Caenorhabditis elegans: one gene and its partners. The protein of the gene in region 1 purifies or fractionates together with the protein of each later gene. This does not show direct contact. Each region holds a gene or a part of one and is shown in the gene's direction. Other genes may lie near its edges.

What was found.
Region 2: the proteins of fum-1 (region 1) and alh-8 fractionate together in Caenorhabditis elegans (co-fractionation; one large-scale study listed by BioGRID). This does not show direct contact.
Region 3: the proteins of fum-1 (region 1) and unc-78 fractionate together in Caenorhabditis elegans (co-fractionation; one large-scale study listed by BioGRID). This does not show direct contact.
Region 4: the proteins of fum-1 (region 1) and alh-1 fractionate together in Caenorhabditis elegans (co-fractionation; one large-scale study listed by BioGRID). This does not show direct contact.

The regions. Positions count from the first base shown.
Region 1 is NC_003281.10:7,461,956-7,469,486, forward strand, and holds fum-1 (putative fumarate hydratase, mitochondrial), read left to right. Parts: upstream 1-3,649; coding exon 3,650-3,769; intron 3,770-3,828; exon of another isoform or gene 3,829-3,978; intron 3,979-4,001; coding exon 4,002-4,333; intron 4,334-4,381; coding exon 4,382-5,243; intron 5,244-5,320; coding exon 5,321-5,512; 3' UTR 5,513-5,639; downstream 5,640-7,531. Other genes in the region: fipr-20 (FIP (Fungus-Induced Protein) Related), read right to left, coding at 312-440; H14A12.3 (Protein rogdi homolog), read left to right, coding at 1,968-2,034, 2,087-2,310, 2,434-2,853, 2,900-3,067; H14A12.5 (tRNA-synt_2 domain-containing protein), read right to left, coding at 5,640-5,812, 5,864-5,979, 6,025-6,134.
Region 2 is NC_003280.10:11,727,068-11,735,027, forward strand, and holds alh-8 (putative methylmalonate-semialdehyde/malonate-semialdehyde dehydrogenase [acylating], mitochondrial), read left to right. Parts: upstream 1-1,987; 5' UTR 1,988-2,011; coding exon 2,012-2,038; intron 2,039-2,198; coding exon 2,199-2,255; intron 2,256-2,309; coding exon 2,310-2,482; intron 2,483-2,529; coding exon of another isoform or gene 2,530-2,539; coding exon 2,540-3,047; intron 3,048-3,105; coding exon 3,106-3,555; intron 3,556-3,609; coding exon 3,610-3,966; 3' UTR 3,967-4,131; downstream 4,132-7,960. Other genes in the region: F13D12.5 (uncharacterized protein), read left to right, coding at 1-125, 172-382, 435-822, 870-969, 1,017-1,259; F13D12.8 (Col_cuticle_N domain-containing protein), read right to left, coding at 4,159-4,352, 4,610-4,756, 5,192-5,303. UniProt on the Caenorhabditis elegans protein: Probable malonate and methylmalonate semialdehyde dehydrogenase involved in the catabolism of valine, thymine, and compounds catabolized by way of beta-alanine, including uracil and cytidine.
Region 3 is NC_003284.9:3,406,604-3,415,014, reverse strand, and holds unc-78 (Actin-interacting protein 1), read left to right. Parts: upstream 1-3,399; 5' UTR 3,400-3,400; coding exon 3,401-3,473; intron 3,474-3,868; coding exon 3,869-4,347; intron 4,348-4,775; coding exon 4,776-5,268; intron 5,269-5,310; coding exon 5,311-5,807; exon of another isoform or gene 5,808-5,855; coding exon 5,856-6,042; intron 6,043-6,089; coding exon 6,090-6,196; 3' UTR 6,197-6,341; downstream 6,342-8,411. Other genes in the region: putative oxidoreductase dhs-27, read left to right, coding at 309-462, 571-804, 847-950, 995-1,066, 1,137-1,247, 1,706-1,867, 1,914-2,039; vit-5 (Vitellogenin-5), read right to left, coding at 6,460-6,719, 6,772-6,907, 6,953-7,181, 7,231-8,411. UniProt on the Caenorhabditis elegans protein: Induces disassembly of actin filaments in conjunction with ADF/cofilin family proteins. Regulator of actin organization in myofibrils.
Region 4 is NC_003281.10:5,074,263-5,082,764, forward strand, and holds alh-1 (Aldehyde dehydrogenase domain-containing protein), read left to right. Parts: upstream 1-3,502; 5' UTR 3,503-3,503; coding exon 3,504-3,596; intron 3,597-4,308; coding exon 4,309-4,437; exon of another isoform or gene 4,438-4,484; coding exon 4,485-4,681; intron 4,682-5,022; coding exon 5,023-5,300; intron 5,301-5,346; coding exon 5,347-6,093; intron 6,094-6,154; coding exon 6,155-6,243; 3' UTR 6,244-6,399; downstream 6,400-8,502. Other genes in the region: Inactive tau-tubulin kinase ttbk-6, read left to right, coding at 436-441, 706-1,053, 1,099-1,418, 1,465-1,552, 1,596-1,706; cox-6A (Cytochrome c oxidase subunit 6A, mitochondrial), read left to right, coding at 7,473-7,608, 7,676-7,827, 8,497-8,502.

The DNA.
Region 1 (7,531 bases):
TACTAAAAGCCAATCGCCCTGAGAAACTATTTTAATACCCTAGGGCTTTGATAATAGAAACCATTCCTGTTTTTCGCCTCCTTTCTCAATTTTTGGGTGAGTTTACGAAATTCTAATTTTCTAATTTTGATCAAAGAATAAAATAGGAATTGAGGATTTAGGCCCAAACCATGCAGCGTTTTCCTTGAGGCCAAGCAGGTGTTTTGGTTCCTGCATGGAACGCTTAGAATGCCAATTCAACAAGTTAATATAGAAAAGATTTGAAATGCTCACAATTTTATCATTAACACAAGGTCAACAAATCATTCAAATTATTCCTTGGCGGTTCCAATGACAATTCCACGGCCACCTCCTCCGTAGTTGTTTCCACCACGGCAACGATGTCCAGAAACGGCGGCAATTGAGAGAACGGCGAAAATGAAGATGTTGTAGAAGTTCATACTGAAATTTTCAGATTTTTGAGAAGACTTGAAAGTGAGAATGCTTACCTTGACTCGGTTGACTGAATCGTGACTTTTCCGACAAACCGGGATGTTTTATAGTAGTCTCTATGCGTGAAAGATCACCCCGCAAACAGGGAATCAAACTCCGAAGCTATAAAGTTTCTTTGCACAGTTTTGCAAACTCATTGTTTTACTTTTGTGTTGAATCAAAGTATATATCGAAATCGGAACAGGAGAATCTGAAAAATAGAAACAACGTTGTTTCTAGCTAACTGTAAGATTTAATTTTTAAAAGTGTTCGATTTGTGTTCACATCTGTTTTATTAGGCGCGAGACAGGCGTAGGCTACCTGAAAGGCCAGCGCATAGGCGTCTAAATAGAAATCACATTGGAAAGTTCTGAAGGGAATTTACAGTAATCTAAAAGCGCCAATTAAAATTTGGTCTAAGTACACTTACATATAATGATCAAAAATGGCCTATTACCATTAAAAATCACTTCAATTTGTTTTTTTCTGATATTTGAAAACTCTTAATTAAAGTTTTGGCAAAATGCCAAATTTTCCAAAAATGTGGACTTTTTGAAAAATGTAGAGCAATTTGGCACGTTTGAACCTCAAAAGTGTTTGAGTACAAATATTTGAACAGAATTTAAAATGATTTCTTAAAAAATTGATTAAATTGGTCAACTTCCGAAATTATAAGTAGCGAAAATGATTTTTGATTGAAAACTAAATGAATTTCAATTTTTTTTGAAAAGTTTCACTATACTAATTGGTCATTTTAGAATCAAAATGGTGCCATCTAATAATTTTCCATGAAAAAGAATATGAGAGCTTGGTAACCACGTTGTCCAACCAATTAATAAAACCTCAAACTTTTCTTCAACGACCCTATCAATCCTTTAGTTCTCAATATCCCGGCTGCTCCGTGAGCAATTATTTTCCCATCTAACCAGATGTGTTCCTCCTGTATCGAAAATGATTTATTACCATCAATTGAATCGCACGTTCGGAACATTTTGACATGTGTCAACGGGAAGGGTAAATTATTTGAAGAACTTTGGATTGAAAAAAATTAATGAAAAAAATTTTGAAAATAAATATTGTAAACCACAATTTTCATAACTTTTCACTTTATTTTTGAGCTTTTGCTATTCAAGTTCTATTATACAGTAAATGTTTAAACTTTTTTGTTGTACTAGAGGTCTCGCAACGAAAGACTCAGTTCTGACACGCGCCTTTAAGGAAAGAGTACTGTAGCAATTGATCGCTTATGTTTTTTTTCTGCTAATTCTTGCTAGCAATTGCTGGGTTTTTCATTGACTTCAATGAATTTTTTGTTTACAAACCGCGTTTTTACTTTTTTTTTATTCCCAGAGGTCTTGCAATGTTGAAAATCTCACGTTTACCAAACAAAAGCAAACGCGCTCTGTTGCACACTGCCGCCCGGCGACCCGTTTTCGGGTTTTTTTCAGCTTCTCTTGTGGAATTTTATCATTTTTATTGATTTTTTCTGCAATACAATGGAGGTTCAAAGTCTTACAATAACCACGAATTATCCGCCGAAACCCGCATCTCCAAATCCGCAGGGTAAGCATTTTGGGTTTTTAATTAAAAAACTATCAAAGTGCATTTTTAACAGATATCCGTGACACAATTCGCTCTAACAAAACCAACGAAAACCTTTGGATACAGAGAAAAGATGTTGACACGACTTTGCGAAGTGCGCTGGAACATCTGAAAGCCTGCTGCATTGTATTGAATTTATCGGCTAAATGCGATGAACGTTTGAACGTTGCCGTTAGTCATGGAACGACTGAAAAATATCAGCTAATGTCGAGAACTGGTAGCTCTGATAATCTGAAGGTGAGTATTTGATTTCACAACGAAAAATTTCGGAAATTCGTCGGCAGTCTTTAAAAAAAATAATCGCCCTTAATTATTTTCATAAATTTAAACATTTTCGCCTCATCTATAAAACTGTTTCAGGCAGCAGTCACACTTCTGGACGACAATGTTATTCAAGCTGAAGTGACCGTAAAGTATCCTAAAGCTGGTGGTGGATATTATCGAGCAGTCGCACAACCCGACGTCCAATGGAAACTTCAACAACTTCAGGATCTTGGAAATCACATTTCCAGAGTTACAATCACTCTCTGCGATTTACAACATGAAGTTAATTTGTTGAAAGGAGATGGAGAACGAGATGCTTTCACTCTGGCTACCGGAGCACGTATTTTGGAGGAACTCAAGCTCACCATGAATGAAATATCATTGGCTCGAAATTCAATTATGTTACCTAGAAAAAGAAGCCTGTTGGAGTTGTGTTACTTCCCACCGACCCGGAAATTTGTTCCACCTCTTCCTCAAGATCAACTAATCTCCTTCTATATTTCATGTTGCCGCTTGGTATGTTTTAAAATGCAAATTCACAATAATCAATACACATTTTAAGGTTTGTGCATCCTACCAAATGGTTCCGAAGACAGTTCATCCACAAGGCCTCTCAGTGTTCATGGCAGAATCTCAACTTCCACACCTCGACGATGTCATCAAGCATCTGAATACAGTGATGGCAATCTTGCAGAAACTAATTAATTATTTATCGGCTACTATGTCGTAGAATATAATTATTAGAAAGGATTGTATAACAATAGTGAGGACAATTAGATGATACTTCTTTAGATGTGTACATATTAATTTATTTCCCCGGATGTTCATATATTTCAAAGTTGTGTAGTTATTTCACTTTCCACCAACTCGTCTTGTTTCATTCCACCCATGCATTACTATATTTTGGTCATAATTTAGAATGTCATTAAAAATATTTAGATTTATGTTTGAACTGATTTTTACAACATTTAATCCATCACGGGTTTAATATCCGAATTATTTCATTTTTGATTTTCCAATTGATCTCAACTTGTGCGGGAGAAGAGAAAAGCTGTATATTTTCTGGATTTATTGCATATTCTCCAAGATGAACCATGCCGAGTTTGATTTGCAATTATTTATGTAACCACGTGGTTTCTTCAACTTTTCGAGATTTTTGATTCCGCAAAATCGGTTAAAGATCATAATAATTTTCGCCACGCTTCAACTGATTTGACCTTCACACACAGGCAACAGAAACCCTTGGAAACGTGAGAAACTAGTTCGTTTCTCTGTGATCTCTGAATTTTTCATTATCTAACTTCTTCTCTTAATGTCTGCAGTCTCTATGTTACAGGGAGAAATGCTTGCTCGTGGAGGCGCCGTCATTGCCCGCGGAGCGTCTCTTGCCACTGCCCGCAATTTTTCGCGCACCACTGTTCCAATGGCTAAGGTTTGTTTTTTTGTCTGATAACAACCATATAAAAGTTCATAGGCAAACAAGTAATGTAATTGAGTGTTTCGGAGATATTTTAGATAGAACTGAACGATCAAAACATATTTAGTTTCGAACATTCTGTCTACATCATGAAATGTTCTGAAATGAAACACAATTCAAAATAATATACTCATTTGACAATATTTAGCATTTTTAACAGTATCTATATGCAAATGAGTTTTTGTAGATTCGTAAGGAACGAGATACTTTCGGAGAGCTCGAGGTTCCAGCCGACAAATACTATGGAGCCCAGACCGCCCGTTCCCAGATGAACTTCAAGATTGGAGGACCAGAAGAGCGTATGCCAATCCCAGTTATCCACGCTTTCGGAATCTTGAAGAAGGCCGCCGCCCTTGTCAACACCGAGTTCGGATTAGACAAAAAACTGGCTGACGCGATTTCCCAAGCTGCTGATGAGGTTGTTGACGGCAAGCTCGACGAGCACTTCCCACTTGTTACATGGCAGACTGGTTCAGGAACTCAGTCCAACATGAATGTCAATGAGGTTATCTCGAATCGGTAAAAACTAAAAAAAATTGTTTAAAGATTTTATTGAATTCATTGCAGTGCTATCGAGATCCTCGGAGGAGAGCTCGGATCGAAGAAGCCAGTTCATCCAAATGATCATGTGAATATGTCCCAATCATCAAATGACACATTCCCAACTGCTATGCACATTGCCGTCGGACGTGAAGTCAACTCTCGTCTTCTTCCAGCTCTCAAGAAGCTTCGCACTGCCCTTCACAACAAGGCTGAAGAGTTCAAAGATATCATCAAGATTGGACGTACTCACACCCAAGATGCTGTTCCACTCACTCTTGGACAAGAGTTCTCAGCTTACGTCACACAGCTTGATAACTCTATTGCTCGTGTTGAATCGACTCTTCCACGACTTTATCAATTGGCTGCCGGTGGAACCGCTGTTGGAACTGGACTCAACACGCGCAAGGGATTCGCTGAGAAGGTTGCCGCCACTGTTTCTGAACTTACCGGATTGCCATTCGTTACCGCTCCAAACAAATTTGAAGCCCTCGCCGCCCATGATGCTCTCGTTGAGGTTCACGGAGCCCTGAACACAGTCGCAGTTTCCTTCATGAAGATTGGAAACGATATCAGATTTTTGGGATCTGGACCAAGATGCGGACTCGGAGAGTTATCACTCCCAGAAAACGAACCAGGAAGCTCCATCATGCCAGGAAAGGTCAACCCAACTCAATGTGAAGCCATCACAATGGTTGCCGCTCAAGTTATGGGAAATCAAGTTGCAGTCAGTGTAGGAGGATCTAATGGACATTTCGAGTTGAATGTTTTCAAGCCACTTATCGTTCGTAATGTTCTTCAATCAACACGTCTTCTTGCTGACAGCGCTGTGAGCTTCACTGATCATTGTGTCGACGGAATCGTTGCTAACAAAGACAATATTGCCAAGGTTTGTTAGTAAATTTAGCGGAAATTTATAGACCTGATTAAAGTATAAGTAGATGATAAATAGATTTTTCATTTCAGATTATGCGTGAATCACTTATGCTTGTCACTGCTCTCAACCCACACATTGGCTACGACAACGCCGCCAAGATTGCTAAGACTGCTCACAAGAACGGCACCACCCTTGTCCAGGAAGCCGTGAAGCTGGGAATCCTTACCGAGGAGCAGTTCGCTCAATGGGTCAAGCCAGAAAACATGCTCGGACCTAAGTAAAGTGTTGAAGCATCAATATTTAGTAGGCACATCTTCGTTTAGTCAATCAATGTCCCCAAATGTTCAGAATCTCTTTGCCCATCCCACACCCAACCCGATTGATTCGTTTGTAATTATTTTGTTTTATTCAGTGTTTTTCCATAGATAAAACCGGAACATTTTCTAAATTTAAAGTTGGATTTGTAATTCTAAGTTGATCGCCTTGAAAGCTTAATTCGACATCCGGAGAACACGATAGCCGCTCTCTCAGGTATCGCATTACTTCACACCGTCGAGAGGAAAATGGTTTTGGTATTAGACCTGCAATTGGAAGAATTCAATGAATAACTAAACATTAAAATTGAACTTTACCAGTTATGGTGAGTTCCTGAATAGCTCCTTGAGGTAGATTCTCATCTAGAACAGTAATAATATTCGCAGTTTGTAACCGTGACACATTAATATGATCAGGATGATGGGAATCATTTCTGTAAAGAAGGAAATAAATACTTATTTGAAGAATTCCAACTCACTGCCTTCTGAAAATTTCTCTCCAATATCGATCAGTTATCTTGGAAAATTGTGTATTAAAAGTTTGCAGATCAACCATCGATAGATTCCGTAGCTCCATGACGTCATGCATTTCTAGTACTGGTTTTAATGTGTCAGAGAACTTTCTGAAATCAAAATTGTATATAACTCAGACGAAAAAATTTGCGATTTTTCGCCAAAGATACGGTTCTGGGGTTGACACGCCTTATTTGCTAAATAAAAAATGGTGTGCTCTTTTAAAGGGTACTGTAATTTCAAACTTTGGTTGCTGCGGAGTTTTCATCGATTTTTCATAGTTTTTCGCTAAAATTATCTTTATTTATTAAAAATTGATATAAAACAATATAGAAAATTTTTAAAAATTTAATGTGAAAACAATCTGAAAATTCCACAGCAACAAAAGTTTGGAATTACAGTACTCTTTGAAGGCGCACACCCTTTTGTATTTGGCAAAAAAGGCGTGTCGAGACCGGATACCGTATTAGACTCTTGAAACATACCTTCCTAATAATAAGCTTTTTGTTGGTGACGAGATACTTTTACGCTTATCTGTCCTATTGTCTTGAATATTTCGTTTCTCAGGGAATATTATAGATTTTATGAAAATTGAGAACATTATTGAAACTAGCACTGCACAAAACATTTGACTAGAATCCATTTTCTAGACAGCCGAAGAATCTGAAAATATTATTTTCAACAAAGAAATTCAGAAATCGAACTTTTAATTTAATTAACAGGAAATTGAGAAGAACGGGAAGTGGTCACGATTAAATAAACACGATTTTTCACAAGAAGAGTCCTAATCGTTCTTATCACCAAATAAATTCGTGCAACCCATAATTTTTAATTTTTAAAGACGATTAGTGTCAAGAAAACTACAAACATTACCACGAAATGCGGATTCCAGGAGTATTAGTGACTGATTTTTGAGTTACTAAACATTTGAAGCAAAAAATTATGTTTAGTTCTCTGGAGAATTGAAGAAAAAATCAGGAATACAGTTATTCGGGAATTGTAGGCTCAACTATTACAATCCTGGTTCTACTGAATGTGGAACATTTCGAAAATTAATATGTGCCTTTGAGGAGTAACTACGGTACTCAGTATCACAGGCAAAGCGGGTACGGTCCGTTTACGGATCTTGGACCGGGAACGGACCATTAACGGGCGAACTACGGATATGAAAAGCGGGACGGACCAATTACGGGCAAACTACGGGGAATGTAAAAAATGGCCATTAAGAGGAAAAAATGGATTTTAAGAAAACGATTTTTTTTAATATTACCGGTACAGAGAGTGTAGATAGTTAGAGAGTGACAGACATCCGGGACCCAATGGGGCGGGGCGCGCGGAAGAGACGATTTGTGTCGATTTACGAAGTTTTCCTCGTTGTCATCATTTCGTAAATCGACACAAATCGTCTCTTCCGCGCGCCCCGCCCCATTGGGTCCCGGACGTCTGTCACTCTCTAACTATCTACACTCTCTG
Region 2 (7,960 bases), on another chromosome or scaffold:
AGCCTATTCCCTACCGCTTTGTCGGCGTTCACCTGGTCCGAGATCCGGATGGCATCCATGCGCCGAGGGTGTTGACTGTCACAGAAGACAGTCTCACCTACAATATCAAGATCACGGATTTGCATGTATGCTTATTATAGTGGTTGAAGTGTTGAATTTCGTATTTTTTAGATGTCGAATGGCTTCGAGAAGAACTCCGGGAAGCGGGAGGAGAACATTGGGTCAAGAGAGTCGATCTACCGCGAAGACGGGGCTCGAGGAAAGGCGAAGAGAAATCTGGCCCGTTCAATGTTCGACACGACTCGACACATGCTTTACCTGGACTTTTCAGCTCCTCCATTCTACGATATCGAGCAAATTTACTTGCATGGCATTTTCAGCGGTAATCACTTGCTTAATAAGCCTGCCTTTTAATCATAATTTTTTATTTTCAGATCGATTCGACAAGCTGCACATCGCAAAGTACACTGGCCACGCTGTGAATGGACTGTTCGATTGGGTCGAGGATCCATACACCGATGCAGTTTACTACAAGGAGCGAATTAATGGCCACGTGGAGATGTTCCAAGCAAAAATCAAAGATGTCGTGCCGATTATCACCGGAAAAATGGCTGGACGACGAATCGAAAATTCCTTGTTGAGCGGCGAACTCCAAGGTGTCTCGAACGGAGTATTCTACGAGACGAGTGTGAGAGATGTCAACGAAACGCATCAGACCCTGTCCTCAACGCTGACAACACTCGATTCGGAATGGAGTATCACTTGTAACGCGGAGACGATTTACAGTGTTGTTCCGAAGACCAACAAGCTCCTCATCATCAGGTTTTGAAGAAATCATCGATCTTCGAATTTAATATTCATAATTTCAGGGCCAACGATTATTGCATGTTGAGAGATGGAAAGAATTACAACAAGGAGAGCTGTGAAAACGAGCAGGCAGACTACCTGGCTCGCAATAATCCGTCTGAGGTGAGCTGGTTGTGTTGAAGAAATTTATAAATTAAATATATTTCCAGACCGACAGCAATGTGAACGCGATGATGTGGCTGATCGTGTTCTGCGTCGTCTTAATCCTTCTCGTGATTCTCCAGTGCGTCTACATCTTTTGGCTCCGATCGTCCTTTGTCTCGGCTGACGAGGCCTCTCATCATCAGGATCAGGAGACTGAAGCCTCCATCTTCATCGCGAAACAGCGCAGCTTCCCAGCGAGTTTCCATGAGCCAGGACTTTTGGATGTCTCCGTCGACAAGTGGAATTAAATCATTTTTATTTGAATTTATAGCATTCTCGTTCTTTTTCAATCTTTTCTAGCCTTCTATCCTTCTAGACACTAGACACTGTCATATTCTCATCTCATAATTTTTAATTTTTTACTTTTTTTTTTGTCACATTTCCTAGCACTTTCTGTTTCTTTTTTTTATATAAAATTAAATATTCCGCATTTTTATTTGTTTTAATTAATGATCTTTATCTTAACGTTGTTTATTCACCAACACTATTTTATTTTTGTATTCGAGTTTTCGAGACGCATCGATCACGTTTCTCCAAGTGCACACGGGTCAAATGGTGGGCAGTTGCAGGTCTCTCCACGTGCTGTGGCCGTCTCTTAGTCTCTTGCACTATCACTTTTCCCACTCTCTGACTCTTTTTTATTTCTTTTTCTTCTTTTTTTGCTGAGAGAGAGAGAAAAGCAACTGTTCTTCTTCTTCTGTCCTATTTGCCACTCCTCCCGTCGTCTTATCAACAGCATTGAAACTTCAAAAACTCGCAGATAGAGCTTTTAACCTTTTAATTTTCAATGTTCGCGTGTATTTTGTGGCTTATTTTATTTATTTCTTAGTTCAAAATTCGAAACGTGATCAGTAATGTTTAGTTTTCATTCATTTCGCATTATCCGAATCGTCAGAACCACCACGCGACCGCCCATCTCTTGTGATTTTCAATTTTTCTTCTCGTGCGTTTTCAGTCATTATCTTCTAATTTTCAGCTCTAAAACTTGCGGTACCCCAGAATGTTGTCTCGTCTTGCTCGTGTTCAGGTAGGAGTTTCTTTTTATAATATTTTTTAACAAAAAATCGTGTACTTCACACATCACTTGCAGTCTGTGCGACAGTTGTCGTATGGGGTGACACATTGAAAAAGAAAACGAAAATCAAACAATCAAAACTTCAAAACTTCAAATAATATTCTAATTTCAGCCAAAATGCCAACAGCTCGCCCACTTCAGCACATCGAAGTCTGCTGCCGCCGCACCAGTGAGTTTCAGGCTTGATCTTAAGTTTCCAAATCCAAATTCCATAATTTTTCAGACTGTCAAGCTGTGGATCGATGGACAAGCTGTTGAATCGAAGACCACCGACTTCGTGGAGCTCACCAATCCAGCCACCAACGAGGTCATCGCTATGGTGCCAAACGCCACCCAAGCTGAGATGCAAGCCGCTGTTGACTCGGCCAAGAATGCCTTCAACACCTGGAAGAACACGTGAGTCTTGAATCCCGTGTGATCTTTTTTTTTTATTTCAATAATAGAAGTTTCCAGATCCCCACTGACCCGTCAACAATGCATGTTCAAACTTCAAGCCTTGATCAAGAGAGACATGAAGAAGCTCGCTGAGAGCATCACCATTGAGCAAGGAAAGACCCTTCCAGATGCCGAGGGAGACGTCAGCAGAGGTCTTCAGGTCGTCGAGCACGCTTGCTCCGTTCCATCCCTGATGATGGGAGAGACCCTTCCAAATGTCTCTCGCGACATGGACACCCACTCCTACAGAATCCCACTTGGAGTCACCGCCGGAATCTGTCCATTCAACTTCCCGGCTATGATCCCATTGTGGATGTTCCCAGTCGCCTTGGCCACCGGAAACACTATGGTCATCAAGCCATCCGAGCAGGATCCAGGAGCAGCTCAGCTTCTTGTCGAACTTGCCAAGGAGGCCGGAGTTCCAGATGGATGTGTCAATATTATTCACGGACAGCACTCTGCTGTTAACTTTATCTGCGATAACCCAGATATCAAGGCTATCTCATTTGTTGGAGGAGATGCTGCTGTAAGTTTTTTTGAATTTGTTTTTTATGAACATTAATCAATTTTCATGATTTTTTCAGGGAAAACACATCTACGAGCGTGGAGCCAAGAACGGAAAGCGCGTCCAATCCAACATGGGAGCCAAGAACCACGGAGTCATCATGGCTGATGCCAACAAAGAACAGACCCTCAATCAGCTCACCGCTGCCGCCTTCGGAGCCGCCGGACAACGCTGCATGGCTCTCACCACCGCTGTGCTCGTCGGAGAAGCTCGCGCCTGGCTCCCAGAACTCGTCGAGAAGGCCAAGAACTTGAAGGTCAACGCTGGATGGAAGCCGGATACCGACATCGGACCACTGATCTCCAAGCAATCCAAGGCCCGTGTCCTCCGTCTTATCGAGAGTGCCAAGAAGGAGGGAGCTCAGGTTCCACTTGATGGATCCAATATCACTGTTCCAGGATTTGAGAATGGAAACTTCGTGGGACCAACGATTCTCGCTGGAGTCAAGCCAAATATGACTTGCTACAGAGTAAGATTTTGTTTTTTTTTAAATTTGTTTAATTTAATATTTAATTTTTTGTAGGAAGAAATCTTCGGCCCAGTCCTTGTCGTCATGGAGGCCGAGAACTTGAACGAGGCCATCGAAATCATCAACAACAACCCATACGGAAACGGAACGGCCATCTTCACCAGCAACGGAGCCACCGCCAGAAAGTTCACCAACGAAGTCGATGTCGGACAAATCGGAATCAACGTGCCAATCCCAGTTCCACTCCCAATGTTCTCGTTCACCGGCTCGCGTGGTTCATTCCTCGGAGATCTCAACTTCTACGGAAAGGCCGGAATCCAGTTCTACACTCAATGGAAGACTGTCACTCAATACTGGAACGAGTCGCTCACCGAGCTGAAGCCACAAATGTCGTTCCCACAGCTCAAGTAAATTGAAATTCTGTGAATTCTGAATTCTCTCATCCATCCCCACACACAATCACTTCTTGGTTCTTTTATTCTTGTTCAATAACGTTTATTGCCATGGTTTTTTGCAACCTCTCATTTCTTGTTTGTTCATATATAATACACATTTTATCATAAAAGTGACGATTAGACCCGTAAATGGAATGGGGGAAAATAATCACAGTTCAGAGAGAATCGTATTCGAATGATTGAAATCATAATCAAAACGTGGATAGTAACTATTCGGATCGGCAATCTGTTTATCATTCCGTTTGGAACGAGCCGCCGTGGGTTCGTCGATTTCCAAATCCGATTCCTCATCCTCCTCACTATTTGAAGTTGGATCTAGCGTGACGGCGATTATGATTATACCTGGAAAATATAAAATATTATTGGGACGTAGAAAAAATGCCCAATCAACGTGAAAACGCCCTCCACGGCAAATTGAAAACGCTCCGCCTCCTAACCGTGGGTCTCATTAGGTATTCTACCAAAATTCAGCATTTTCAATTAGCTTCAAGTGGTAACTTTCAAGTTACCAGTTTTTCCTAACGAGACCCAACTATTTGAGGCGGAGCGGTTCCAATTGGCCGTGGAGCGCATTTTCTGCGTCTTCATAATAATCTAACCTGTGATAAGAAGAGCAACACTGATAAGTGATACGATAAGCACCAATGCTACCGAAACGGACATCGACTGTGGTGCATTGTTGTTGAATGGACTGGCGACCGTCGGCGACGGGATCGCGCTGTCCAGAATTCGGCGGGCTTCCTCGTCTGAAAAAATATTTTGAGGAATATTGTTGAATTTTGTAATTTTTTCACCAAAAAATACGGTACTGCTAGGGTCTCGACGCGACCGGAAGTTTTCTGCAGGAAAATTGTGTGCGCTTTTAAAGACTACTGTAGTTGTGAAATTCTCGCTGAATTTTTCAAAATCGTATTTTTCATAAAATATTGATATATTTCAGATTTTGTAAAAATTCATTTGCGAAGATTGCGAAATAACGGGAAATGGGTTACTGTAATTTTAAAGGTGCATACTTTTTGTTGGGTAGATTTGAAAATATTTTGATCGCGTCGAGACCTTTTTTTTATGAAAAAACGTAATAACTTATAATTTTCGATGTTTTTTTAACTCTAAATAAGTTTTATAAAATTTTGCGCCTTTAAACAACTGGTTACTATAACGAAATTTCGAAAAAAGCCTACCATTTGCATCAAAAGCGATCACAATTTTGGAATTCGCATGTGAGACGGCCAAATAAATGAAGGCGACAAAAATGAAACAGGTCAGTAGAATAATACGAACCACGCAACGCATTCAATCATGAGCAGGTGCTGAATGTTATGACGATCAATCTGGAAATTGAGATGGAATTTTAGGGAAACAAAATGAATTATATCTCCTTTCCCATTGTAGGTAATAAAAAAATGTAGAAAATGTAGAAAAAATTGTGTACTACATTTTTCCAGTTGACAGTTTTTGTCTACCTAGCCTGGCAATAAAGTTATGAGCGTTTGAAGACAAGAAGAATTTGTCATACGAGAGAGGGGAAAGGCCGTCGTCGATACATAATGAATATTGGCCCAATCAATTCGGAAGTCCCTACTTCGCATACAAAACATATGGACTCGTCGAAGCAGAACGGGACTGCTCAACTCGGAGCACACATGCACACAGAGCAGGAGAGAGTCCATTAATTTTGCGGCGGGCGCCTCGCCTTTTTCTCTTTTCTCCTTTTTCCCTAAAACATTCTCGACTAATGATGAATGGGAATGACAGGAGAGAATGCAAATCCGTTCGGGAAAATGGGATTTTTGGAAGAAAATTGGGTACGGGTACTGTAGCTTCTAATCCTAGGTTATTAGGGAAAAAACGGGGCTCTGTAATTTGTTTTTCAATTTTTAGAATAAGGAAAATAAGAAAATAATTAGGATCTGTATTAGGCTTTTGACATAGGCTAGGCTTACGATTACGTTTGGGCTTGGGCTTAGTCTTAGGCTTAGGGTCAGGCTTAGGCTTAGGCTTAGGCTTAGGCTTAGACTTAGGCTTAGACTTAGACTTAGGCTTGGGCTTAGGCTTAGCAATGAAGCCGACGATAAGGTAAATTTATATAAAAGCCAATGTTATAAAACTCGGCCACTGTCTTTTTGTGGCTGTTAAAAAATCTATGTGGCCGCGAAAAAAATTAGTGGCCGAGTTTTTCTTTCTTTCACAAAACTGATATCAAGTTCCTGTTTTCTCAAGTTGCTAAATTGCCATATTTTCGCGGACACGTAGCATTTTATTAGTGGGCGTGGCCAAACGAGACTCCAAATGCCGTTTTTGTTTTGGCCTGGTAATCGCAATCCCGTCGGGCCGCGGAAGTGAAAACTCGGCCACAATATTTGCTTTTTGTAATCAGTCAAAAAACTCGGTCATCGATTTTATTTGCGGCCCCGTAAGTGGTGAGTCCAAAGCGAAAAGTCGGGAAAGTGCAAGAAGCGAAATTAATTTAATAAAAAAAAGGGACAGAGTTCATCAAATTGAAAATTCGATAGACTGACAAAAATGACTTTTTTTGAGGAATAGGAAATAAAAGTTAATTAAAAAAGTTTAGAGCTTTTGCGAAATGGCCGAGTTTTCGCATGAACACGCACTTTTCAGCAGAAAAAAGTACAGACTAATGGAAAAATATTCAAATTGTTCGCACGCATGTGTAGGAGTATTTCCGATAATTGTGTCAAAAATCATATGCAACTTTAGGTTTCAAAAATTTCCAAAAATATATGAAAACTTCCGAAGAAAAATTTAAATTTCCAATGAGAACATTTCAAAAATTCTGCAAAAAAACCGGAAACCCCCGCTCGGAAGTTGTGATATCTGCAGTTCGCAACAAAAAATAGATAGCTCCACGCCCTTCCATTTCCGGCGGCGGGAAATTGAGTTTGAGTTGTTTTGGAATAGGAGGAGGAGATGAGAATAGACATACAGATAATGATCATGTTCTTTTAGTTTTTTAGTTCGGGGTTTTCGGCGATCTAGGCATACTGATAAGGTTATATACATTTTGGAAACTGACTCGGCCATTTGGGAAATTTCAAAGTTATTGCCAAAATAGTGAGTGTTCGAAAAATTAAGTTTTATATTTAATTAGGAAATCATGTGCATATTTATAATAATGATTACTTTATTTTATTTTAATTGTTTTAATTTTGTGATTAATATTTTGTTAGTTTGTTTTGGAGATAAATTATTTTAAATTAGAAAAAGCACATAATCGGCCCAATTTTCTCCGAAAAATTTTCATATCTGGTCAGTGGAAAAAGTTATCAAAAAGTTGCCAACTAAGTAATTGTTGCAAATTTAATTTTAAATAGTTTGATAGTTATTATTTTTTTACAAAAAATTTAAGCACAAATATCATATTATAACGTTCCAAAAATTGAGTATTTTTAAACAAAATTTTTACAAAAAATTGACACCAGATTCCAAAAAAATCAAAGCTAAAAACGTAGACCATCCTACAAAGAAAACCTTTGAGATAAAGTAGAGATAGTTCTAAAAAATTGCTCCAAAAAAGTGCATAAAATTGGTTGCAATTCAATCCTCCCACTCTTCTAGAGTGTCTCAGTGAGTGTCGATTTTGTAACTCGATAATACAAGGACACCGAGCACAGAATGACCACTTTTTGGAGTTTTCTAAGCTTAAACTTTCATCATGAAAACTGCATTACAAAGTAGGTACGTGAAATATTCAAGATGGACAAGAATTTTGAGAGTAAATAAAGAAAAGGAGCAGAAGATGATGATGAGGAATATGGAAAAGAAGAAGATGAAGCCAGGGGGTATATGGGAAAGAGAGAAAGGAGGTTAATGACATTTGAAGGAGGAGCAGAGGTTCTCTCAATTGTGGTAAAAGCATTTTTTGGAAAGAGAGAGGGATGGGATTTAGTTAGGATGAATATATATTGGTATATTGGTGATTACCGAAAAAT
Region 3 (8,411 bases), on another chromosome or scaffold:
TTCCACACACACACTCCAAAACTATCAATCTGACCGTCCCCCCCCCCCCCATTTTCCCCCCTAAAATGGAGGGACGACGAGGTCATCCGCACACAGTTCCTGTGTGCGCCGACACGCGGCCTTGGATCATTCCGCTCATTATCCTCCTTTCTGCAGGCTACTGTTCTTCTTACTCTTACTCATAAAAGGTTTTCTATCTGTGTCAATGTTTGCTACATTTCTCTCATCTCCTGCATTTTCTGACCCAAATTATTACATTCTTGTCTTGTCACCAACTGTTTTTTTTTCAAAGAATTCTAAAATTTCAGATGTCAGGCGCATTATGGAGTGCCGCACAGTTTGCCGTTACTTCATATGTGTGCGTCCGAGTTCTCAAATTTCTGTACATTATGTGTAAGAGTGTACTTGTGCATTTTATCACACCGAAACACGACTTGGACTACTTGAAGGATACCTGGACTGGTATGTTATATTTTTATATTTTATTTTGAATAAAATACTATTCTGGGCTAAAGCTGCCTGAACAATATAGTTGAATCATGTTCTGAAATTCAAAATTCATTGCTACAGTGATTACTGGAGGAACCGATGGAATTGGAAAAGCGTACATTGAAGAACTCTGCAAAACAAGAGGGCTCAAAAAATTCTACCTGATTGGCCGCAATATCGACAAATTGAACAACACCAAGAAGGAGCTAGTGGAGCAACATGGATGCGAGGTTATGTGCCATGTCCATGATTTTGAAAAAGACGACTTGTCAGCTCTCCCCAAGGATCTCGAAACTTTAGATGTTGGAATTTTGAGTAAGCAATTTTTTCCAACATTTTCACAATGTATTTTTACAGTCAATTGTGCCGGAATTGCTCCACATATCATTGGAACACTGACCGAGCTGCCAGAAGGATTGGCGTCCAAGATTCTTCGTGTTAACCTGATGTCTGCTGTTAAGGTTTCAATACTCTGATACTTTTCCAAATTAAGGCTTTGTTTCAGATGACCGAGATGATTCTGCCAAACATGGTGAAGAAAAAGCGAGGAATCATTGTAAATATCTCATCAATGACGGTAAGCGCCTACCAACCGTTACCTACCTACCTACCGTAACTTCCGAGATTTACTAATCATATACTTCCAGGGCTGGAGGCCGCTTCCGTACCTCAGTTCTTACCCGGCTAGCAAAGCTGCATTATCCTTCTTCTCCGACTCCTTGTCAGATGAATACCGAGGAACTGGAATTCGTGTTCAGGTACGTATTTTCAATAGGTACACTTTAAATTTAAATCTTAACAATTACCGATTTATTGTCCAATACGTTTTAAATATTCCTTCAAGGCATTCAAAATTGAAATTCAAAATTTCAAATATATAGAGCCTTCGTTAAACAGCCTTAAATGCACTGAAATACTTTCAGAAAGCTTTTGAGTTGTGTTCTTGCATTTTGAATAATTGTAGATACCTAATCGAAAAACGAGCTGTCAAATGACATGCTTATCTGAAAATTTGTATTCTATAAAATGTATATATTAATACTTACAACAACGGAGTTTTTAATTTAAATGTCGCACGTCTAAACGTAACCAGTTACATGTAATGATTTTGCCAGAACTGATTCAATTTATTGTTAAACGTATTGTATTTTAACTCAAAATCTTTCTTCACAAACTTTAAAAAAAAACTCAAGTGTAAGTTTATTCATTTTTCCAGTGTCTCATTCCAATGCTCGTTGCTACCAAGGTCGCCTCGTATGAAGCTGAAGAAGCGAACAATATCTTCGTTGTCACCCCTGAAAACTTTGCCAAACAAGCTGTCAGAATTATCGGGACTAATTGGGAAATCACAACGGGCTGTGTGCAACATGATGTTCAGGTAAAATCAATGGTGTCTTAGTGGTCTGAATATTGCAAAATTTCAGGTTGCCCTTGGAACATTGTTCTCCTTTTGGTTTTTCAAAGTACTTTTCGTCCCTGTTGTTATGCTCGGAGTTCATAAGCATCGTGTTGCCTCTTATCAAGCGAAGAACTCGAGAAAGAATAATTAGAGTTTTTATCATTTCACGTTTATCCATTTTCGTTCATTTTTATCATGATTTTTTTTTATTGAATGCTATTTTTCAGATAAAAAAGTTTTCGTGTGAACTTAATTTTTTAGAATCTTTTTTTTAAAGTTGATCACCGATTGAAGCTTTTTTTGCCAGAAAAAACATTTCAAATTTTTCCCACTGGCCATACTCCACAGAATTGCTGCACACACTTGAATCCTGCAAATATGTTGGCTCTAGAGAAAGAAAAACAGTTTTAAAAAATTAAATATACAAATTTTTATGATCTACTTGTTTTTCGAATATTCCTATTGAAACATCTCGAGAAGCCAAGTTGTCAGCAATTTTTTATAAGCTTTTAGTATGTAGTTTGGATTGTAGTACTCTTTATTCAAAAATACTTTTGGACTTAAATAATAACATGTCTTTTTTATATTAATGAATATATTGATATTGAAAATTTAGCTCTTCCGGTGACTCACGGGGAATCATATTCTAGTTTGCACAAATTCATACGAGAAAAGTAGAAAAGGGAGGAAAAAAATCGTTTTTTGTTGCGATAAGGCTATAGTTCGCTTAGTCAGCCCCTCCTTAACGTGTATGCAACATGAATCACATGTGCTTGGTGAGTTGTCTCATCGAGAAAATGTTTCATTTCTCATTCGAAAAGTTATTGCAAAACCCGACCAATTTTCTTCTTATTTTGTTTTGTTTCGACATGTTGTTCGAGAAAAAAAAACGTGTTTTTCACCCAAAGCTTCCCCCGCAGGTTTATCGATTTTTCCAGTGACGGCTAATAATAAAAAAAGCGGTCGATGAGCAACGAGGAGTTTACAGCCGATCCTCTGTTTGCGTGAACCTCCGTTTCTCGATTGTCGAGTGATGATGGGAATCGCCGAGTCGCAGATTGAAAAACACGTCTTGCTGTCGAATGCTTTCCACCCGGCGAGCCGGCGGGCCCCGTTTTCTATTGACCTCCTCTTTCTCACAACAATAACACTTATTCACTTTTTTCACGTCACAAATAACTATCGCATTGTTCTTCGTTATCAACAAAAATAGATCGACCAAATTAATAATTTTTTCTTAGAAAAAAAAAAGAAAATTTCAATTATAAAATTCCGTCGAAAAACTTATATATTTCAAGCAAAGAAAACAGTTGTTCAATCTTTGCGGCCTAGGAAACCCCATCTCGGCCGCGCGCACTGTTTGTTAGTGACCAGTGACCGCTGTCCTTCCGCACCCTCATTAGTTCCTCACCCGCTGTCGTCACTATTTCTTCTCAATGCTCTCGTTTGATTTTATTGATTTTCTTCCTTCGATCTTTTGGATTCCTGCTCAATTTTTACAATTTTTGCAGAATGTCGGAATTCTCTCAAACCGCATTGTTCCCGTCTTTGCCTCGCACTGCTAGAGGAACTGCCGTAGTTCTCGGTGAGTTTTTATATTTTTAATTGCACGGTGATTTTACTATTTAATACTAGAAATTGAAGCCGTATGGCTGCATTATATTTTAATATGGCTGCAATACTAATTTTCAGATAAATTGTTTCTTTAAAATAATTAGTCTTCACTTGCAAAAGTAGAAAATTCTGAAAATTCATATTGCGCAACATATTTAAAGTATTTCGTAGCGAAAACCACATTGATCCTTTAAAAAACTACTGTAGCGCTTGTTGTTACTGTAGTTTTTTTGTCAATTGTGCGAAAAATAGTAAAAATCATTGATGAAATATTTAAGTATTAGTGAGACGCTTTGGCAACAGAAAAAGTGCAAAGTGAAACGGTTAATAGGAAAGCTAAATCACGTTTTACAAAAATACTTCCAGGCAACACCCCCGCTGGAGACAAGATTCAATATTGTAACGGAACATCGGTTTATACTGTACCAGTTGGAAGCCTAACCGACACCGAAATCTACACTGAGCATTCTCACCAAACGACTGTCGCCAAGACAAGCCCAAGTGGTTATTATTGTGCTTCTGGTGATGTTCATGGAAATGTTCGTATCTGGGACACAACTCAAACCACCCACATTCTGAAAACTACTATTCCGGTGTTCTCTGGACCAGTGAAGGATATTTCGTGGGATAGCGAAAGTAAGAGAATTGCCGCCGTTGGAGAAGGCAGAGAACGTTTCGGTCATGTTTTCTTGTTTGACACTGGAACGTCTAATGGAAATCTTACCGGACAAGCTCGCGCTATGAACAGCGTCGACTTCAAGCCATCACGCCCATTCCGCATTATCTCTGGATCTGATGATAATACAGTGGCGATTTTTGAAGGACCACCATTCAAATTTAAAAGTGTAAGTGATTGTAATATTGGATTAGTTTTTGAAAATTCTCCACAAAGGTTCCGCTTAAAGTATTTCGAAATACTACATGTTATTCTATTAGGTTTGTGTTAAGTTGTATTTTTTAATTCCAAAAAAGATAATTTCGCGTGAGCTTTTCGCTGAAGTTTCATGCTTTTTATTTGATAAAACATTAAAAAAAACACTGAGCGAACTTTTTTTTCAGAAACTATCAACAAATAATGTAGAAAAAAACCTGAACGTATGCGTGAATTTTTAATACTACCGGAATGCAAACATCTTTTCAGTAGCTTATTGTCAGTGCAACTCTAACAGAGATTTAATTTTGATAGAAGGAAACTTGTTTTAAATGACTCGAGTGTTCCAAATACGTTTTCAGACAAAAAACCAGTTTCAAATTTATTTTCCAATTTTTCCAGACTTTCGGAGAACATACGAAATTCGTCCACTCTGTGCGCTACAACCCTGATGGCTCTCTGTTCGCCTCGACTGGAGGAGATGGAACCATTGTGTTATACAACGGAGTTGATGGAACAAAAACCGGAGTCTTTGAAGATGACTCTTTGAAAAATGTCGCTCATTCTGGATCTGTGTTTGGCCTTACCTGGAGCCCGGATGGTACAAAAATCGCATCGGCTTCTGCTGATAAGACCATTAAAATTTGGAATGTGGCTACATTAAAGGTTGAAAAGACTATTCCCGTTGGAACTAGAATTGAAGATCAACAACTTGGAATCATTTGGACCAAGCAGGCTCTTGTGTCTATCTCTGCTAATGGATTTATCAATTTTGTCAATCCAGAATTGGGAAGTATCGATCAGGTTAGATACGGACACAACAAGGCGATTACTGCACTTAGCAGCAGCGCTGATGGAAAAACTCTTTTCAGTGCTGATGCTGAAGGACATATTAGTGAGTAGTTTCAGTGCTTCGAAATTTAAAACTTGTTTTCAGACTCCTGGGATATTTCCACAGGAATATCAAACCGCGTGTTTCCGGATGTTCACGCCACAATGATCACCGGAATCAAGACAACCAGCAAGGGTGATTTGTTCACCGTCAGTTGGGATGATCATCTGAAGGTTGTTCCTGCCGGAGGTTCTGGAGTCGATTCTTCCAAAGCTGTTGCCAACAAATTATCTTCGCAACCTCTCGGTCTCGCCGTTTCCGCAGATGGAGATATTGCAGTTGCTGCTTGCTATAAGCATATTGCAATTTACTCTCATGGAAAGCTCACGGAAGTACCAATTAGCTACAATTCTTCCTGTGTGGCATTATCGAACGATAAGCAATTTGTTGCTGTTGGTGGACAAGACTCGAAGGTCCATGTGTACAAACTCTCTGGAGCAAGTGTCTCTGAAGTTAAAACAATTGTCCATCCTGCTGAAATCACATCTGTCGCATTTTCGAATAATGGAGCTTTCCTCGTGGCAACCGATCAATCACGAAAGGTTAGTTTTTGAAAAAAAATCATTTCTATTATAGATTTCAAAATTCAGGTTATCCCGTACTCTGTTGCGAACAACTTCGAGCTAGCTCACACAAACTCCTGGACTTTCCATACCGCCAAGGTTGCATGTGTTTCCTGGTCACCGGACAATGTCCGTTTGGCGACCGGTTCCTTGGATAACAGCGTTATTGTATGGAACATGAACAAACCATCTGATCATCCGATCATCATTAAAGGTAAATATTTCTCTATTAATTTAACACATTTAACAACATTTTTATAGGTGCTCATGCTATGTCGTCTGTCAATTCGGTAATTTGGCTCAACGAAACTACAATTGTGTCGGCCGGACAAGATTCGAATATCAAGTTCTGGAATGTACCTTTTTAAGTCGAGAAGCTTTTTGATTGCCCTCTAAGTATCCTTAAAATTATATTGATTTTCATAATTATCACTAATTTTCGTGTTTACTGCAAGCACTATCATCTCCTTCGAAGCCTTAAATACACGCGTAAATAAAAACTATTGGTGCAAAGCTGTGTTTCGATTGACATCCTTACAACATGTGTATTTGTTTTCTAGAAGTGATGAGAAAAAAAATCATTCTAGTGAAAATGCTTTATTTAATAGAAAATTAATAAAACATATGAAATCTAATAGGCAACGCAGGCGGTTGGGATCTTGACAGACTCAACGAAGGAGACTGGGAAATCGACCAACTCGGCAACAGTTTGCTCACGAGCTTCCTTCAAGAAACGACGAGCGTTCTTGCTGTGGCGTGGCATGCAAGTGAAACGGATCTTCTTGTTGGAAGTCTTCTCGGATTCGAGTCCACGGCGGCACTCAGAGACTGGCTCGATGGAGAAGCAGACGCGGTTGGAGAACTCCTTGATGAGGGTCTTCTTGACGAGTTCTGAAAAATATGTATTTTGTTAAAACTACACATCATTCAGCCTTAGACTAACCCTTCTCAGTTTCCTTCTCATCGTAGTTGCTCTCGTAGTCGGAGCTGCTCTCGTAGTCGGACTTCTTCTCTTCTCTGTTCCATTTGTTTCTGTAGTTCTTCTTCTCGGAGATGCGGTCGTTCTCAACTTCGCATTCCTGAAAATGAAATTTACATTCAGTTCATTGAAAAAATCTGATTACCTCATTCTTGAGAAGGTAAGACCGGTGGAATTCCTCAACATCCTCAGTTTCGTAGTTGTCAGCGGTCATGAACTCATTGTCTCTCTCACCGTCATTGTTTCCGCAAAGTCCGCAAAGTTGGTTTTGTGAAGCAACGGATGGCATGTTGGTCTTGACAGTGTATCCATCGAAACGAACCTCTCCTTGTGGAAGACGAATAACAATAAGGTTATCTCCAAGAATTTCGATACTGAAAAACGAGATTAGAAAAATTCATGTGATTTAGAGTTAAAGCTTACTTGTATTGTTCAAGTTCAGTTGGGTTAACCTTCTTTCCGTCAACCTTGACAAGGAACTTATCGTCAGACTTCTTCACAACAATTTCTTCCTCACGGCGGACAACCTTAACGAGAAGCTCCTCAGAGTTCTTGTTGATCTTCTTGGCAAGAACAGCGAATCTTGGCTGTTCAGAGCAATCCTTGGCAACAAGAGAGTAGCAGGTGGTGAGTGGAGCGCGGTAGATCACGTTGTCAAAGGTAGAAACCTCAGATTGGTCAACCTTGCAGGTGGCTCCGGTCTTTTCCCAGGTTTGTTGGAACATGGCACTACGAGCAATAGTTGGGAGAACGACGCGTGGAATACGAACATTCTTCAACTCAACTTCTTGTTCTGGAGTCTGGATGGTCATGTTCATGTATTGGCGGGAAAGTGGCTCAACAGAAAGTTGAAGAACAACGCGGCGATTCTCGTTTTGGACACGCTTCTCAGAAACAGTCCAGAAGTTGTATGCCTTGATAAGGTCGAAAATGCGGGAGAAAGTGTATTCAGACTGTGGGGTGAGCTTGTACTCAGAGACAACATTGACTTGGTTAAGACGAGCAGCCTTGATCAAAAGTTCGTACTCTGGAATTCCCTTGTACTCACGCTCGATGTTGCGGATGAACTTCTTTTGTTCCGTGGATTGTTCGAGTTGAGCATTGACTGTGATCTCGCTCTTCTTTGATGATCCCCACTTGGCATTGAATGCGAGTTGAACCTCACGGTGTGGTTGCTCACGGAGTTGACGGAGGGATGATGGCATTTGTGGGCGGGCAGCAAGAAGCTCAGTACGAAGAGTCCATTCTTTGTTCTCGTGCTCCATTGGAGAGCGGCGAGCATCCATCTCAACCTTGCACATACGGATCCATTTGTCACAGACGGTACGAAGTTCAGTGTTCCAGTACATTTGTTGTGGGGCTTCAAGCTTGAGGGTGATGAGGTTCTTGAATCCTTGCTCAGATTGAATCTCACGGATCATCTTGTGGAAGTATTGGCGGCGGTTCTCAGATTCGTTGTTCTCAAGGTCGAATTCTTTTTCGAAGATCTTGTCGAACTTGATCTCGGAAAGATCAGTCTTCTCGAGGTTTCCAATAGTGACGCGAGCTGTGAACTCAACTGGACGGTTTTTGTTTTCAAGAGTGTACTCGAAATCTTGTTCAGT
Region 4 (8,502 bases), 2.4 Mb from region 1:
ATAAAGAAAAAACATATTTTGAAGAAAATATTCTTCATTGTAATGAAAAAAAACTTCTTTTTGGTACTTTATTTTTGTGTTATTGGAGAAAATAAATTATTTTACTCTCACAACTTTTTTTAATTGAAGGAAGTTTTCAAGGAAGCATGTTCACCTAGTTCAGATAATCTCAAGAAATTGGTTACTGGATATTAAACATAAACAAACTTAAATCTGCAATGACAGTGACATTGTACAAAAAAGGAACGCGAAATTCAAAGAACTAATCAGAGCAGACAACCAGAGTTGTGGGTGTCTAGGTTTTTTGTTAGTTTTAAAAAATTCATTTTTGAATCCTTTATTCAAAGTTCATAGTTCACTTCCAGAGGTGATCCAAATAAAGTGGCTGCTCTGAAGGCCGAATCAAATGAAATCGAAGGTGGAAATACAATAAAGATGGAGGTATGATTGATATCACGAAGACGTCTAAAGATTATAATTTTTGTCACATCTTATACGCAAAGATCTTATACCCCTTAATCTTATACCCCGAGAGCAGCAAATTACTGTAACGAGGCACCACAAAAATGAGAACTGCGAGAAGGAGAACTTCGAAAGGGAGAGCAGTAACTCGTTGTCTCAACCTTTGCGCGTAAGATATGGCCAAATCCTTATCTTAAGACGACTACGTATCAGCTGAGCAAGAAACGTATCTGAAAATTTCAGGATCATGTCCTGAAGAAGCTGAATGCCAACGGACCAGCTCCGCACATCCCAAACTTAAACTTATATGGAAAAAAGATGAATTTCTCCTATATGGTCATGACGTTATTGGGGAGAAATCTCCAAGACCTGGAATCAACGAATTTTGTTGTGAACAAAGGATTTTCACGTGGAACATGGAGCCGTGTTGGAATTCAATGGGTTTATGCATTGAAATATGTGCACTACAATGGATTCATCCATCGTAATGTGAATACACAAAACTTATTTTTGGGAAATGAGAAGGATAGTGAAAGAGCAAAAATCATTCACATCTTGGATTTTGGTCTTGGAAGACCTTTCGCTCGTTATGTAAGTTAAGCATTAAAACTTCATAGTATTTACAAATAATTTCAGCATGCCCGAGAGAATAAATGGATTGTACGTATAGCTCGTCATTCTGCAGAGTTTCGTGGGAGTTTTCGTTACGCGTCTCCGAATGTCCATCTCCGTAAAGAGCAAGGACGAGTTGACGATGTATGGTCACTGCCCTACGTCATCATTGAGCTCAACGGCGGAAAGGCACTCCCATGGCAAACCGATTATCGACGCGGACGTGTGGAGCAAATGAAGCTGAACTTGACGCCAAAGGATGTCATGTCTGATATGCCAGCTTGTATGGATAAATTGATGCCTCATTTGGCTTCCCTCAATTACTACCAAAGACCGGATGATCAGTGAGTTTTCTATATTTCCTATCCATTTATACGATTTAAATTTCAGCATGATCTTCAAGTGTTTCTGGCAAGTCATGGAGAACGAGAAGATCACTCCAAGTTCAAAGTTCGACTGGGAAAATGAGGAGCCTGATGTAAGAATTTCCTTTGAGTTCTCAGAATAATTCATTCTTCCAGATGTCTGTTCCACCTGCAGCTTGGGAGAATCCAGACGGACGCTACTTCCAATCCAATCCTCTTGAAATCAACGGCCCACCTACTCCAGCCGAAGTGGATTTTGTTCTTTAAAAGTGGGAAGAAGCTTGAAAACTAGAGATATATGAGATTTGAATAAAGGACTAGAAAATGATTTTGTTTTGCTAAATTAACAAAAACTATGAATCCTCAACTACAGTTGGCTCCTCCTAATAGTTCATCATCTTAGAGCTAATGAAGTTCTGGCGTCCAATATCTTTTGGCAGATTTCAAAAAAAAAAACGAACATAGATCTTTCGGATTCTAAGTTTAACTGGAAGAATTAACACATTTGTTCACTTCAAGATTCATCTGGTTTCATTGTTGACAACATGAACCTTCGAAATTGTTGGTTAAAGTTTAACATTAATTTTGTTTACAGCTCCAATAGTCTCTTATGGAAAACAAAATTTAATATTCTATCCTACAGTCCTTTCTTTTCAACTGTTATTTAACATTTATGAATCATGTTCCATTATGACCTAAGACATATTGTGGCCTATACAAATTGTGACCTATGACATATTATCATTACTTTCAAACAATAATCTTCAAGCGACCCGTGCTTCTCATGCTTGTGAAATGCTGAAATGCTTTTTTATTCAACTGTATGACATTTTTCAAACATGTGCAGAGAAACTTGAATGCTTTCATTTTCTCAAAAGATTCCCACGGCTGACGATTTTTTTCTTGAAGCCCGAAGCCTAATTGATATGATAAAAAAAACTTCAGATTTTCGTTACATTCGTCCTTTTTTTCTTGTTACTTCATTAAGCCAAGTGTTGACTTTGTAACTGCTTTCTCTGGAGTAGAGTTTCTAAAGGTTCGTAGTGTCTCGCCACCAAGCGCGCTCTGTTGAGCAAGGGCACCGCGCCAGTTTCGAAGTTTCTTTCTATTTTAAAAACATTTTTAGCTCTTTTTTTCGGATTTTCTCGCAGTTTGAGAATATTTTCCTGAATGTTTATCTTCCGTTTGAATTAAGATCGCGTTTCCTCTCAGAATTAAGTTATATCTGTCAATAAAAACAAATCTCAGCTGAAATGCTTGCACGTTTGTTTATTTTCTGCTGGTTTTAGGCAGGACTAACGATGAATCTTGTTGTTAACCACTCTGTTTATATTTGATAATTCTTAATTTTGTAGTTGATTTCTGCTGAAACTATTCCTGTCTCTGTCGTTCAATCTTTCCAAAGTTTTTCATTTATCATCATTTCCAAAGATCCCATCTCGACATGGAAATATTAAATGGTCAAGGGTTAAATCATGTTGTGCAATACTTGACTATTCTTCAGGACTCCAAAAAATTCTCATTATTTTGTGCTGGTTCTATTCGAGCACGTGCTTCTTCATCTTTTTGTTTTCGAAGATGTTTCGTTGAAGTATATTTGTGTGTGCAGTTCTCTGCATCTCCGCCTTTTTGACTCCTCCTCTGTCACTTTTCAACCATCGCTCAGTGTTCTCTTATCTATTTCGACCCTAACCATCGAGGCTGGCGTGTTTGTCCATTCTTTTCATATCTAATCTTTAGTTTTCTCTATTTTGTTTAGAGTTGAATTTTTGGAAGAAGATTAGTTAATCGATTTTGAATAATTTTGTCAGAAGTCTCTGCAATACTGATATTCACTTTTTGCCACAGTTTTTAGATATACTGATTCGATGTTTCCGAATTACCACTGGAACTAGTTTATTTTCTATTTAATTAAAATTTAAAATGTTCTATGAAGAAACGAGCTGCTGTGAACTCACAATATCTAACCTCATTCACCTGTAAATTTTTATTTTGCGTCCTCTTTCTAATTTCTTTAAAATCTTGCCTTATTCGGGTAAATCCTTTATAATTTTTATTTTCAGAATGCTCCGTTCAGCTCTCCGGGCAACAGTTCAGGCACGAAATGCCTCCGGTGTTCCACCAGGTCTTTCCAACATGAAACCACAATACACCGGCGTAAGTTTCTCAGAACGTTGTTTTAAAAAAATTGCAAAAAAGATAGGAATCACACAGGATAACCTTGAAAATGGAGACAATGTTGAGAGAGACTCTAATTTGAATTTTGAAAGAAAAAATTACGGAGCCCATTGGATCGCCAATTTCTAAAAACGTTGATTTTCAAGTAATTTGTGTTTAAAGAAAAAGAAAACAAAAGTGGAAATTGTGCATCGAATCTTATTGGTTTTTCTCAAAAATCCGTATTTTCCGCGAAATTCAAAGTTACAAGAACATCACATTACGTGCGCTTTGAAACCGCCGTTATCAGAAACTGCAACAGAAACCAAAAAGATGAATTTGAACCTTTTGATCTGTTTTTCTGCTGCAAAAATGTTCTCTTCTCATGTTTTCATTACATTATTTCAACGGAACCACGTGCCCTCAACGTTGTGCTCTGTTGTGTACCTAGTACACAGAGTACGATCAATTTAAAATGATGATAATAAAAAGAAAAAGAAGAGAGCTGATACTATCTCATAGGGAAAACGTGGTCGCCTGAGGTGGAGAACGAAATGAACAATGAACTCGGTCAACAGTGAGATAGGGCAATCAAAACTGAACGATGATCGGATTTGAGAAAATAAACTTAGAGGGCAGAATTAGGACGAAATGTGATACTTCTCCAAATCAGGGATTCAAATTTCAAAAAAGTTTATATCTAAATTTCCAGATCTTCATCAACAATGAATTTGTGCCAGCCAAGTCTGGAAAGACTTTTGAGACTATCAATCCAGCCAACGGAAAAGTTTTGGCTCAAGTCGCAGAAGGAGATAAAACAGATGTCAATATCGCTGTCAAGGTTTAAATCTAAATTCGAATTTTAAAGCAATCTTCAAACTTTTCTAGGCTGCTCAAAATGCATTCCGTATCGGCAGTGAGTGGAGACGAATGGATGCTTCTCAACGTGGAGTTCTTCTGAATAGACTAGCTGATTTAATGGAGAGAGATCGAGTTATTTTGGCATCTTTGGAATCTTTGGATAATGGAAAGCCATATGCAGTTGCTTACAATGCTGATCTGCCACTTTCTATCAAGACTCTTCGGTGAGTTCGAATAGCATAAATTGGAGAATTTTGCTGTAAAAAAATCCCAAAATAGTCTGTAATTAAGAAGAAAACTCAGAAAAAACGAAAAACTTTACTGCCAAATGAGCAAAGAGATCTACAAAAATAATTTCGAATTCTCAATTTTATGAGAGAAAAAAATCGAAAAACAAAAATTTTTGATTGTCCGGACAACCGTAAATCAAAAAAAACTGTTTAGAAAATTAACAGCCAAAAAATGCAATTTTTTGAATCAAATTTTGTTTGTATTGATGAGAAAAATTAAAATTTATTGTAAAAAAAGGAAAAATGGCTAACATTAAAAAATAACTTTATTACAGTTATTACGCCGGATGGGCTGACAAGAATCACGGAAAGACTATTCCAATCGAGGGTGACTACTTCACTTACACTCGTCACGAACCGGTGGGAGTCTGCGGACAGATTATTCCATGGAACTTCCCACTTCTTATGCAAGCTTGGAAACTTGGACCAGCGTTGGCTATGGGAAACACAGTCGTTATGAAGGTCGCCGAACAGACTCCACTTTCAGCCCTTCACGTGGCTGCTCTCACAAAAGAAGCTGGATTCCCAGATGGAGTGGTTAATATCATTCCAGGTCAGTTTTGTAAAAATTGTGAGTTTCTCAAATAAATAAATTCCAGGATACGGACATACTGCCGGACAAGCTATTTCGTCGCACATGGATGTTGACAAAGTCGCTTTTACTGGATCAACTGAAGTTGGAAGACTTGTTATGAAGGCTGCTGCAGAATCGAATGTCAAGAAGGTCACTTTGGAACTCGGAGGAAAATCACCAAACATCATTTTCGCTGACGCTGATCTCAATGATTCCGTTCATCAAGCCAACCACGGACTCTTCTTCAATCAAGGACAGTGCTGTTGTGCCGGATCCAGAACATTTGTCGAAGGAAAGATCTATGATGATTTCGTAGCTCGTTCCAAGGAATTGGCCGAGAAGGCTGTTATCGGAGATCCATTTGATTTGAAAACTACTCAAGGACCACAAGTTGACGGAAAGCAGGTTGAGACTATTTTAAAATATATCGCTGCTGGAAAGAAGGATGGAGCTCAATTGGTGACTGGAGGAGCCAAACACGGAGATCAAGGACACTTTGTGAAGCCAACTATCTTCGCTAATGTTAAGGATCAGATGACTATTGCTCAAGAAGAAATCTTTGGACCTGTTATGACTATCATTAGATTCGACACAATGGAAGAATTAGTTGAAAAGGCTAATAACACTATTTATGGATTGGCTGCTGGAGTTATGACTAAGGATATTGATAAGGCACTTCATATTGCCAACGCAACCAGAGCTGGATCTGTCTGGGTTAATTGTTACGATGTGTTCGATGCTGCTGCTCCATTCGGAGGATTCAAGCAGTCCGGTAAGCTAATTTATTATTAAAATTTCTCCATGCCAAAGTTAAAAAATACTTTTTCTTTTAGGAATCGGTCGCGAACTCGGAGAATATGGTCTTGAGGCATACACTGAAGTAAAGACTGTCACCATCAAGGTTCCACAGAAGAACTCATAAATTTCTTGAATTTTCGCTTTCCCTGTAATTTTTGTTCCTTTTGCTTTTTTTTTTGAAAAATGTTTATTGCTCTTAATATACGTGTTGTATTTATCTATTTTTCACATATATTGAAAAAGAATTCTGAAAGAAATAGACACCTACAGGACGACTCATAAAAGTCTCGACTTCTTTGTGAATTGATTGATTCAGGACAAACGAATTATTACTCTGTACATTAGAGGATCAGTCGTAAAATCTTCAAAAGGCAAAAATTTTACGAGCTTCCGGTAGGTTACGCGAAATTTTAAAAAAAATTTGGAACGCTTCACGAATTTGCGTGTCATCCTTGCGCAGGGGCCATGCTAATCTTCTCTGTATTGTTCCAATTTTAGTATATGTTCTCGGAAGAACGAGACAGCCAGGACCAGTTGTTGCTTATATAGTGGCCACCTGCAAGGCGGCAGACATCTCGTGGGTTCCGCAATTCTCCGTCAAGCAACTCAAAAAGGGCAAGAATCGAACCAAAACTTGATACTTATTTCCGTCAATAACTTTTTAGCCAATGAATCGATATTAATAATTTTTTATGTGTTCGTTCTACATGTCATGTTTTAACAGGTAACAAAGTTTCAGAAAATTTGAAGCATTTCTAACGGAGATAATAGGCAAATTAGACAGCATGTTGCAGCACAATTATTTCACACACCTTAAAGGCGCACGCCATTTCACCGGCTGGTCTCGCAGCGAAGACGGCCTCTCCGTTATTTTCTCTTGAGGAAACGTGCGTTTCTGTGGTTTTACTTCACAAACAGTGCTTTTATTGATTATTTTTGAGTTTCAAATGATTAAATTACAAATTATGAATTTTTTAACCACAATAGCATATAAACCGCAGCCGTAAATCGATATTGTTCGACTAGAAATTCCACTTTTTCGAATTCAAATCTGCAAGTGTTCAACCATGTCATTCAATCATTATTGTCGGGTTTAAATTTCTAAAATTCTTCATAGCAATTATTAGGTTTCTTAAGACGTAAGAAAAACCTCATTTGTTTTTATTTTGTGAGTTTGTTTTATTGCTTTTTCTGATTTAAAAATCACAATTTTGTACTTTTTCATCAAATCACCTGATTTTTCTCTTTTTTTCTCAATTTTCACGTAAACAAGTTTGTTCCCCCTCCTTCTCCCCCCGCGTTCCGTTTTTCTCACAAATCTCAACTTCATTTCAAATTTTAAAGGTATCCGACATGAACCGTCTCGCTCAACCAGCTACCCGCTCGGTCGTCAAGACCTTCCAACGCAAATCCTCAGGATCATTTTACGGATCCAACAATGTCGAAGGATTCAAAGAGTCATATGTCACTCCACTCAAGCAAGCTCACAGTAAGTGTTTTTTTTTAAAATAAATAGTTTCTATTTTGATGTTCAAAGATTAAAATATATTTTTCAGATGCTAGCGAGACCTGGAAGAAAATCTTCTTCATTGCTTCGATTCCATGCTTGGCTCTTACCATGTATGCCGCCTTCAAGGATCACAAAAAACACATGAGCCACGAACGCCCAGAGCACGTCGAGTACGCCTTCTTGAACGTTCGCAACAAGGTAAAATATTCGTTTTTATCTTGAAATCTGCCATAGTTTAAAATTTTACTTAAAAAATGTTATTTAGCTTTCATGTCTTCCTCATTAAAGAAGTTATCGGCAAACTGTTTAAAAATGTCATCTTTCTGGCATTTTTCAAACTAAAAAGGATGACTGTGAAGTTTAATAATATTCAAAACGAATTAAAAAAAAAACAGTCGCTTTTTTGGAATTTTAATTTCTACAATCAAGCTTTTAAATGATTATACAATTTTATAATTTGGCGTTTTCTCAGTAATTAAAAAAAACGATTGGTCTCAATAAATTCCCAAGATGGTTAAAAATTTCAAAAAAAGAGTAAGAAAAATTTTAGCTAAATCTCCAATTTAGCCAACATGTTCTAGTTGCAGCTGCTGGAATACAGTTTTATTGAATTATTGTTTTGGTCTATCAGACTAAAATTGACCTAAATCGACGGAATAACGTAAAATTAACAACCAAAACATGAAAAAAGGATGATAATAAAATAAATACTCATTTCCGACGTTTGCAACACAGAAAAGTTGACAAAATTAAAGATTTTAGCAAAAACTTTCCTACTTTTTTGCAATTTAGAATCGCCAACATTTTTTTCTTGAAAATCAATCAATCCATTCTGAAAATGCATTCCTAATAAATATTCAATTTCAGCCATTC